2 linked regions of the Caenorhabditis elegans genome follow. The protein of the gene in region 1 binds, or shares a complex with, the protein of each later gene. Each region holds a gene or a part of one and is shown in the gene's direction. Other genes may lie near its edges.

Region 1 (5,938 bases):
TTGAACATCATTCAGTTTGACAAGTTCATCATTTGCCGTAAATAACTGACAACCAAGATCAAACTTTCTAATGACAGCGTTAATTGTATTGAATGTCCATGCTTCTGTTACTGTCATTTTGTGAGATCCCATCGTGAATTTTCGTGTGATGTCACGTGGAATATCCGATGGGAACTTGCTCAGTAGTTTCAGCTGGACCATATGGACAGCCACATAACGTTCTTTATTACGTGTCACTGCGGGAAGCTTCAGACCATCTATGGTAACCCAATCCCAAGATGATAGAGAGGAAATTAGATTTTCAGTTCCGTCAGATGTACTACTAGATGTACGAAGACGTTGAGGAGGTGGTGACAGGTTTTTGTTGCTCTGAAATTCAAGAATCTAGCTTTCTAGGTTTCTAGACGCAAAGCTTCAATTTTTCAGTATCGACAAAACATTTTCTATTAAAAAAAAACCTACATCAGTTCTCCTTGTAGAAGTTGAATTATTCATCTGCTGCTCATTTCCAACTGCTCCATTCTGTTTCTCCGGCGTAGAGCAATCAGATTTGATCACTTCAACATCAATTTCAGGACTATGGGCTCTTGGCGTCGCATCAGTGTCCTTTTTCTCAGCACTCTTTAAAGACGAGGTTGTAGTAGTGTCCATAATGTGTAGAAACACAAGCAATGCTCGTCTTCTTCTTCTCTGTCTTCCACTCCCCCATTCATTTTCTGTGTGCATCTGTCTCTCCAGTCTATCGATCCTTACACGGAGCGTGTTCGCCTCTGCGTCTCGCTTGGGCTTCAACTGCTTCTCGGCGTCCCTCTGAATTTTATATGCATTCGACAACGTTTGTGTGTGTGTGAAATCGTCATTCTAGGACAACAATTCGTATTTTCGTTGCATTAGATATTAAAAATTAAAACGGCTGAATTCAAAATGGGTAAGTATTTCTAATTAACTATTTCCCTAGTTTTACTTTACGTTTTTTCATCATTCTAGAAAGTTATCACTGTAGCAATCGACTCCGTTATCAGATACATAGAAATGATAAGATAGCAAACAAAATATTGTTGATTGCACAATTGAATACATTCGAATATTTATTAATCGTTGTATTGAAATCAGTTGGAATGAAAATGTTAAATTTACACTACAAACTACAAGCGATAACATTTTACTGTATATTTAGTGTTCTTAGTTAGTTGCCAAAGTGATATCAAGGGAGATATCATAATTATTTAAGATTGGGTACCTTCATTTAAAGAAACTGAGTAGAGTTCTTTTGGAGTACAGGACCCAAACACCGTTTTTTTTTCATAGATAATTAACTTTTAACTCCTACAAAAAGGTCTGACAGAAATTCCGAAGGTAGGCATGCCTACGTAGGTTAGTTGCAATCTCGCTCTGCTGCACCATGTCGGCAACAAGTTCGTAGTGACGTTTGAATTAATTCTTCTTCGCTCTTTTATTCTACTTATAAATTCTGCAATTGGCCACATATTTGAAAAAAAAAACACCATTTTGAACTCAATTATTTTTCTAACAAATGTCGGTTTAAATTCAAAAAAATATATCAAATTTGATATTTTGACAGTATTTTCTCATAATAATATATTTTCCAGAGAATGAACTTGATGGATAGCGAGAATTCGAGTAGTCATTCGATAAGTTCTCCACAAATGTTTCAAAACACGCACAACAATTCAGCAATGGAGGATAATTTGCTTTCTCGGCCAATGAACAATGAATCACTTCAAATGATTATTGGATACTTACGACGAAATGGTTTAACAGAAACTGAAGAGCTTTTGACTCGAGAAGCTGGACCAGTACTTAGAGTTGAAGGATCTAATGGATTACCTCCAGAGTAAGTTTTTTTTTTCAATTTAAAAATGTATCTAGAAATTAATATTTTAAAAGGTTGGAGCATTGCTAGACTCAAAATGACCCCACAAAATTGTTTTAAATTTCTCAAAAAAAAGCTAACCAGTTGATTAAGATGCTTTTTCAGTAGATGTGCACACAGTAATTTCAAAATAAAATTTTTTCCAAATGTTGTGCATCCATCGACTGAAAAGATCACTTTTACCGAAAAAATCAATTTTGTAATTTTCTGCCGAATATAGACTTTTCCCCTAAACTCAAAACCGGTATTTAAATAAATTTGGGAAATTTACAAGACGTATTAATAATACATTCGGTTTTCGGTATCATTTTAAGTCTAATGAATCTACTCAAATTTCGCCACTTCATCTTAGAAATAATTTTTTTTAATAGCAAAATAGACAAAATTTGAATTTTTCAAAGCCCAATGTCTTAAAAACCAAAAGTTTCAGAGAAGCGATATCCGTTGAATTCGACACATTTGTCCAGCACGCAAACGATTGTACAGATGTTGTTCAAGCGGAATTCAGTCAACTTTTATTTCCTATATTTGCACACAGCTATATAGCTTTAATTGAAAAGCATGCCGCAACTGCCCGTATATTCTTCAATCGATTCAAGATTTTCATTCCTGAATGTTTCTCGGAATTTGTATATCAATTATCACTAATCGAAGATGCAATGACGTTACGAGCCAATGAACATGTTCACATTTTACGAGAAAATAAATTTCTTGTTCGACTTTCGAGGCCAACACTGAAACATCTTGAATCAATTCAAACGAGAGTGATTGGTGTTAAGAATATAATTGCAAAACATATTTGTATTGAAAGTAAGTATTCATTTTTATATACAAAAAAAATATAATAATATCCGTTAAAGATGCTGACGAAGTATCCACAAATCGAACGACAATAGAAACCCAAATGGGTGGAATTCTTGGAGTAACTTCGAAAAGTGATAAAAGACATAAAATGATGTTTTCGGTGTTAAAAGACGAATTGATGCAGAATATTGAAAAACGGAAGACAAAAGGAAAAGATTGGAAAGATATGGGAAAGAAAATGCAGACGGTAAGATTTTTAAACAATTTTTTTGAATTTTTTTGTACTGACAAGGAAAGATTTTCATCTTACCCTGAAATTTTAAAAATGTTTATCAAATTTTGTTTATGTTAATGAAAAAAAACATAAGAACATATATAATTGTTTTCTAAAAAAGAGAAAAAAATTGTCAATATTTTAAGCTAATTTTCAAAAAATCAAAAACAAAATCATTAGATTTTTCGATTTCCCAAAAACCGAAAAACGTAATATTTTCGTTATTGTTTTTTGTGAAAAATCGAAAAATGAACACCTTTGCTGATAACATATCGCTGTAACATTTTAATCGGCATGTTATGTTGAAAAATCTAATTTTAAAACAGTTGATTTTTTTCTGAATAAATTTCCAAAAATAATGTTTGGCTACACCTAAACTCTTTTGAAGTCTTCAAAAATATTCAAAAGTATCTTTTGGAGCAACTCTAATGGCCTGAAAATAATGCAAAAATACACTGAAAAATACAGTCAAAATTTAAATGGTTGAGGGTGTAGCTGTGACGATTAAAATTTTTTAGTGTGTTTTTTGAGTCCCTCTCCCTTTGTTCTGTAATTTTCATAGTTCTTTGTATATATCTTGTTATTTCCAGCATTGCCCACAAGCTGACCGAATTCCTCTTCCACCAATCAGCGAACATCTTCGAGAGGAACGACGAAATTGGCTTCGAGACGTCGGAAAAATGGCCATCATTTCAGCTGAATCACCCGTTTCCATTTGTATGTACACAACAGTAAATGCACCAATTGGAGTGGCTTCATGTGATTTTACGGATGATTCAAGTCTTATTGCAATGGGTTTATCTGATTCTTCAATTGTTATGAATGCAATGGATCCGATGAATAAGATGAAGAAGCTTCGTGATATGGAATTTCTTGATAAAATCGATATTGAAACTGCGGATAACGTGCAATCACAAATGTTTGATTTACAAGGATCAACGACAAGTGTGAGGTATACAGGCCACGGTGGTCCCGTGTTTTCTGTCAATTTTTCACCGGATCGACGACTTCTTATATCATCTGCCGGAGATCGAACAGTTCGACTTTGGAGTATGGAGACTCAGAGGAATGCTGTTATTTATAGAACACCAGCAGTAGTTTGGCAGGTTTGTATTTATATAATTTTAACTAGCATTTTAACTGAGATATTTAGTGTCGTTGGTAATCTTATTTCAAATAATAGATCATTATCCGAAATTATCGAATTTAACTAATAAAAAAACTGTCTCATAAAGTTTCAGCGCAACGTTCTACATTATCTAATCTGAAAACTATTACAGGCTCAATTCTGTAGTCGTGGATACTATTTCGCTACAGCAAGTGCCGATAAAACAGCTGCAATGTGGTCGACAGATCGAATGCATCCACTTAGAATATTCGCTGATCCATATGGAGACGTTGGATGTATTGATTATCATCCAAATTGTAATTATATTGCTGGAGGATCAGATGATAGATATGTTCGAGTATGGGATGTTTGTTCTGGTACTCGAGTTCGCATTTTTAGTGGTCATAAAGCTTCGATTATCGCTGTCAAGTTCTCCCCATGTGGTCGGTATATCGTCTCGTTAGATGCTATTGGAAATCTGATGATTTGGGATTTGGCATACCAGAGATTAGTTGCAGCTGAAATTACGGAACAAGCTGGAACGAAGGTAGTGAAATATAAAAATGATAATATCATATTACTAGTTCATTTCAGGGTTCAATTACATTCTCTCGTGATGGTGGTGTATTTGCGGTATCCCATGGAAATTCAAGTATTCAATTATATTCACTTGATACTCTTATTGGAACAGTTCTCGCCGCTGGACAAAATGATTCCTACATTGAGCCAAAGTAAGTTTTAATTAGGAACAAAATACTTGGAGAAATATACAGGTACAAATATTATGAAAACGCAGAAAAATCCCCTTACGAGAAAGAAGAAAGTATAAATTTTATTCATCAAATTAGCCATAACATTTTTTTAAACCACTTAAAAACAGGACAAATGCTTGAAGATCGGAGAAATCGGCAATACTAAAAACTTTCGAATTTACGGTTTTGTCGCCAAATACCTAATGAGACCTATGGCTTGGGGGCGGGGCGTATTTATTCGGCAGTGGAGCGCGTTTCCACTTCAGAATGTCTTTTCTAAGTCCTCATAATATATAGTTTCTCGAAAACTCCTACAAGCTTTTTTCAATCAATTTTTACAAAATTTCAGAGTGAATCTGGACGGTTTCAATATAGGATCATATGCAACAAAAGAAACTGCAGTAATCGGACTCCATTTCACTCGTCGAAATCTTCTTCTTGGATTTGGTTGCTTCGGGCAATAACTGTCATCTTGCCTGCTATTATTTGAACATTTTATCTTTAAAATACATTATCTCAAAATCTGGTCTTTAACGTGATCCTCTCATTCATATTAAATCTCTTTTTCACTGGTGGAATAAAACCTTTTAACAAATTTTAAATTTATTTTAAAATCCCTTTGGCTTTATTTTGGAATTATGTGTTCATTCCGACACTGCAAATATTTTATTACATTTTTTTCTCTTTTTTAAAAATAAGGTTATTTTATTTTCAGATGACGTCGTTCGTCGAAGGGTTGACCAGCCCTGAAATGGAAATTGCTGAGGGCGGAGTCATCTTGGATAATAGGACGTAGGTTTTTTTGTTAACTTAAGACTAATAAAAATACTTATTTTTTAAAAAATTTCAACAGTTACATTTTAGGTATAACTGTACGTAACATTTTTCGAATATATCTACTTTCAGACGATTCGCTGACCTAAAAGCCATGCTGGATAGTAATAAAGATAACCTAAAAGTTGATGCAATGAAACGAATAATTAACGTGAGATTTTATTTCCAATAAATTATAATTATCTAAACTTGAAATTTCAGCTGATAGCGAAAGGAAAAGATGTCAGTGAACTATTTGCTGCAGTTGTGAAGAACGTAGCAGCAAAAAATGT
Region 2 (5,041 bases), 6.0 Mb from region 1:
TTCAGGATATGTCTACAGACGTCTCGGGGCTCCAATCAAGCCCTGAACTCGGACAATTGATGGGACAACTGCAGCAACAGAGGATGTAGAGCTGATTTTCAGTGGAAAATTCTAATTTTCTGTGAAAAAAATCGAGTTTTTTGGGTAAAAATTCATAGAAATCTGAATTTTTCCCCCAAAAATTGAATTTTTAGTCAATTTTTACCATGTTTAACCCTAATAAATCCCCATTTCCCCCCCCCCCCCCCCCCCCCCCCCCCCCATTTTCGTGTCAATTTTCGGGTAAAATTCCCATTTTTCGCTTGTATTTTTGCCCATTTTTCATTGTTTTTTCTCTCGAATTTTCTCAGATAATCAATCAATTTAATTGAATCTTTTTTTTTGTTGAAAAAATTGAATCATTTTCCATAATTTTGTCATTTTTTTCCCATAATTTGAAATGAATTTCTCACTTTCCTATTTTCGCTATTCTTTTCCGGTTTTTTCGGGGGGAAATCCTCGAAAAAGTGTAATTTTGCACTTGAATATTTTTTTTTTTAATAGTTTTTCTATTTTTTAGCTGAAAATTCAATTTTTAAACGTTTTTTCACATAAACCAACGTTTAACAGAAATTTTGTTTTAAAAATCGGTAAAAACCGAATAAAAAGTGAAAATTCGAAGAAAAATTTAGAAAAAAACAATTTTTATTCAAAAACTCTAATTTTGCTGTAAAAATTTGGAAAAAACTTATTTTCATCACATTTTTAGTCGCTAAATTCAATTTTCAGTCGAAAAATTGAATTTTCAAGCGAAATTTTGAATTTTCAGTCAGAAATTCTGCTAAAAATTGCAAATTTCATGAATTTTTCTTCAAAAATTTCATTTTTTAATGCCAAAATCCAATAAATTCCACAAAATCATAATTAAAATTCGAGTTTCAATTCCAAAAATTCTGAATTTTCCACAAAAAAAAGATTTTTTCCGCACTTGGTTGCTCACACTACAAACTACACAATTTTCTAGCCTCACTCAACTTTTGGTGAGGCTTAAAAAGTTGTAGTTTGTAGTGTCGGCCTCAACCAAATGCATTTTTCGAGCAATTTTAAGCCGAAAAGTCAGAAAAAACTCAACTTTTTGCCGAAAAACTTTGAAAAAATTAGATTTTCATAACATTTTTAGTCGAAAAATGAATTTTCCCGGTGAAAAATTAAATTTTTCAGCGAAATGATTGTAAATTTCATTTTTTTTCTTGAAAAGTCTAATTTTTATGCGAAAATCAATCAAATTTGAAGAAATAATAATTAAAATTCGAGTTTCATTCAAAAAACTGAGAACTTTCCCCAAAAAATTAGTTTTTCCGGAGTTGGTTGAGGCTCACACTACAAAAACTACAACATTTTCTAGCCTCGCCCAACCTTTGGTGAGGCTGAAAAAGTTGTAGTTTTTGTAGTGTGAGCCTCAACCAAATCCATTTTTCACTCAAAATCGAGCAATTTTGAGCAGAAAATCCATTTTTTCCGTGAAAAAATTTAAAAATTCGTGAATCATCAGGTTTTTAGAATTATTTTTAAAGTTATTATCGTAATTTTTTCCAATTTTCTACAAGTTTTTAGTCTCACCAAAAGTTGGTTGAGGCTAGAAAATGTTGTAGTTTGTAGTCTGTGCATTTTTTGGTGTTTTCTTCTTAATTTGCACAATTTTGATTCATTGTTTATTCGGAAAAATGGAAATTTTATCGATTTTCAAATTCAAATTAAATAAAAATTCAATTTTGAGACTAAATTAATGGTTTTTTTTTCGAATTTTTCAAAATTTCCGTTTTCTTTTTTTTCTCTGAAAATTTTCTAAAGAATATCAATAGACAGAACTCATGAATTTTCAAAATTCAAAATCTCTAAAACTCAAAATCGAGCAACTTTGAGCAGAAAATTCAGAAAATATTCAATTTTTTCGTGAAAATTTCTTGAAAAATTCGTGAATCTCCAGGTTTTTAAAATATTTTTCAAAATTTTTTATTGTAATTTTTTCCAGTAATGAACAATACACATCATCACACAAATGGGTATCGAACGGAAAAGCCAAAAAATGAAGAAGATCTAGAGGATCCTTACGCTAATCTCTCGGATTTCTACAAAAATCATCCGGCAGCACGGAATGAAGGTAGCGAAAATCGAAAAAAAAAACTTTGGAATTTCACTAATTTTTCATTTTTTTCATTTTTTCAGCATGTTCGTCAGCTTCTAATGGCGGCTCTAAAAGTGTGAAAATGGAGCCAAAAGTGGAAAAAAATGAAGAATTTGAAGAATATATTGGTGATCCTGTACGATTAGAAGATATGGAACCATTTGCAAGACCATCACTTCGAGATGATGCACCACTTTCATCTATTTTACATCCGGATCTTGATGGAATTGATCCGAGGTACTGAAAACCACAAATTTCTGTTGAAATTGACGTTTTTTACCGGAAATTTCCACGAAAAACTCAAAAATTCTATCAAAAATCACTGAAAATTGGGAAATTTGACAAAAAATTTCATTTCCTGCCGAATCCTGTAATGTGTAGTATGAGATGTGTGTGGTATAAAAATTGACAAATTTTAATTTAATAACATTAAAAAAAATTTCATTTTTCTCTAAAAACTTTATTTTTTTTTCCATTTTTACAAACTTTTTTATAAAATCACCCGAAAATTCGAATTTTCTTCGGAAAATCTATTTTAAAAACTCTGAAAATTGCTCGAAAATGACATTTTTTGAATAAAGTATTCCAAAAATGCTCAAAACGTGCTGTTTCTTCCAAAATTCCATAATTTTCTTTTAAAATTCCGCAAAATTTGCTTGCCCTTGAAATTGAAAACTGAAATTTTTTGAATTTCCCGCCAAAAGTCGATTTGGAAAGAGTTTTTGCTGGAAAAATCAAAAATTTCGACAAAAAATCGTAAAATGGGATTTTTTTTTCAAAATTTTTCGAAAAAAAATCGAGTAAAAGTGACGATTTTTTTTTCAATTTTTGTTGAATAAATCGAATATTCAGTAAAATTTTCATTTTTTTTTCTCGAAAAATTGATAGAAATTCTAATTTCGTTGGAAAAAACAAATTTTCACTTTTTTTAAGCATGAAAAGCGCCATTATTTCAAAAAATTGGCAAACATTTGCCGAAATTCGAATTTCGCGCAAAAATCGAATAAAAGTGACGATTTTTGTTGGAAAAATCGAATTTTCACTGAAATGTTGGGTTTTGTTTTATTCGAAAATTGAAAATTGAAATTCGAATTTTGCTCCAAAAGTCAGTTTTCCAATGAAGTTTCATAAAAACACACAAATACACAATTTTTAAGTCAAAAAACCCGAAAATTGGCAATTTCTGCAAAAATTCCTTTAAAAAACTCAAAAATTCACTCAAAAATCGTTGAAACCCGTGTCACTTTTCCCCGAAAAAACCCACAATTTTTCCACACAAACCCATGGTTTTCCTAGCCATCAGAAATCTCATGTAAAACTCGAAAATTTGCTTTAAAATTGTTAAACCTTTTTTTCGAGCCAAAAAAGCCAAAAAAAGCCTGAAAATTGGCCAATTTCTGCAAAAATTCCAAAAAAAATGGTTGAAACCCGTCATTTTTCCCCTGAAAACTGGTTTTTCTCGCCGAAAAACTCGAAATTTTGATGTAAAATTGCTAAAAACTGCTAATTTCTTCTAGAATTCCATAATTCTCTGTTAAAATTTCCAAAAAAATTCCGAAAATTCGCCAAAAATTCACGCAAATCACTGAAAACCCCCATTTTTCCGCAAAATCCTTTAATTTTATTTTCAGAATCTTCTTCAAAGACTTCAATCCAAACAAAACTCTTCGTTTCTCTCGACTTTTTGCTCAAAATATCAAACATACGTCCCGTGCCGAGATCTGGTGGGCTTCCCGAACCTTCTCCAAACATCAACGCAAAAAAGAGCCCGAAGAGCCCCTCGCTGATGACGTCATCGTTGGAGCCAAAAAGCTGAAGCTTAACATCATTGAGAAGGTGCCACGTGTCATGTTGGCTGACGATGAAGAAGAACGAATGCGGAGACCGATACTGACGGATGCAGAGGAAATGGCAAAGAAAAATGAAGAGGGTACGGTAGTTCAGCCGTGGAGAACGGGTCCCGCCAAGATTTGGTATGATATGATGAATTTGCCGATGACTAGTCAAGCTGTTAATTATGGATTCAAACTGAAGGTAAAAATAATGAAAATTTGCAGAAAATCGGCTGAAAATTGCTCAAAAAAATGGAATTTCCTTTGAAAAACTGACTTAAAAATGGCTGAAATTGGCTAAAAATGATCAAAATTAAAGTTTCCTGGTAAAAAATACACTGAAAATGGCTGAAAAATGGCTGAAATTCGCCAAAAATTGAAGTTTTCAATAAAAAAAACCCTAAAAATCGCACTAAAAATCTGAAAAAATTACCAAAAAAGCGCAAATTTGACACAGTTTGCTCAAAAAAATTTGGTTGAAGCTAGAAAATTTCGTAGTTTGTAGTATGAGCCTCAACCAAAATTGAGAATTTTAAATTGGTTGAGGCTAAAAAGTTGTAGTTTGTAGTATGAGCCTCAACCAAAATTGAGAATTTTAAATTGGTTGAGGCTAAAAAGTTGTAGTTTGTAGTGTGAGCCTCAACCAAAATTGAGAACTTTAAATTGGTTGAGGCTAGAAAATGTTGTAGTTTGTAGTGTGAGCCTCACCCAAAATTGGTTGAGGCTAGAAAATGTTGTAGTTTGTAGTGTGAGCCTCACCTTAAATTGGTTGAGGCTAAAAAAGTTGTAGTTTGTAGTGTGAGCCTCAACCAAAATTGGTTGAGGCTAGAAAATGTTGTAGTTTGTAGTGTGAGCCTCACTCAACAATATATTTTTAGTTGAAAAACGTGATTTTCAGTCAATTTTTGATAATTTTTAACTAAAAATTCCTGAAAAATATAATTTCCAGCTCAATTCCGACAATTTTCCGGTTATTTTCACGGCTTAAACAGCATTTCATGAGTTTTCAGACAATTTTCGGTCATCTTAGACAATTTCATCTCAT

What was found.
Region 2: taf-5 (region 1) and taf-1 share a complex: the UniProt entries of both Caenorhabditis elegans proteins name them as parts of the TFIID basal transcription factor complex.

Annotation. Positions count from the first base shown.
Region 1 is NC_003279.8:7,848,203-7,854,140, forward strand, and holds taf-5 (Transcription initiation factor TFIID subunit 5), read left to right. Parts: upstream 1-1,610; 5' UTR 1,611-1,622; coding exon 1,623-1,855; intron 1,856-2,324; coding exon 2,325-2,704; intron 2,705-2,754; coding exon 2,755-2,945; intron 2,946-3,562; coding exon 3,563-4,078; intron 4,079-4,252; coding exon 4,253-4,627; intron 4,628-4,674; coding exon 4,675-4,811; intron 4,812-5,181; coding exon 5,182-5,296; 3' UTR 5,297-5,434; downstream 5,435-5,938. Other genes in the region: F30F8.5 (MATH domain-containing protein), read right to left, coding at 1-369, 463-651; apb-3 (AP-3 complex subunit beta), read left to right, coding at 5,548-5,624, 5,739-5,817, 5,868-5,938. UniProt on the Caenorhabditis elegans protein: The TFIID basal transcription factor complex plays a major role in the initiation of RNA polymerase II (Pol II)-dependent transcription.
Region 2 is NC_003279.8:13,859,463-13,864,503, forward strand, and holds the start of taf-1 (Transcription initiation factor TFIID subunit 1), read left to right. Parts: upstream 1-2,011; 5' UTR 2,012-2,013; coding exon 2,014-2,140; intron 2,141-2,205; coding exon 2,206-2,401; intron 2,402-3,795; coding exon 3,796-4,198; intron 4,199-5,041. Other genes in the region: W04A8.6 (ANK_REP_REGION domain-containing protein), read left to right, coding at 1-89. UniProt on the Caenorhabditis elegans protein: The TFIID basal transcription factor complex plays a major role in the initiation of RNA polymerase II (Pol II)-dependent transcription.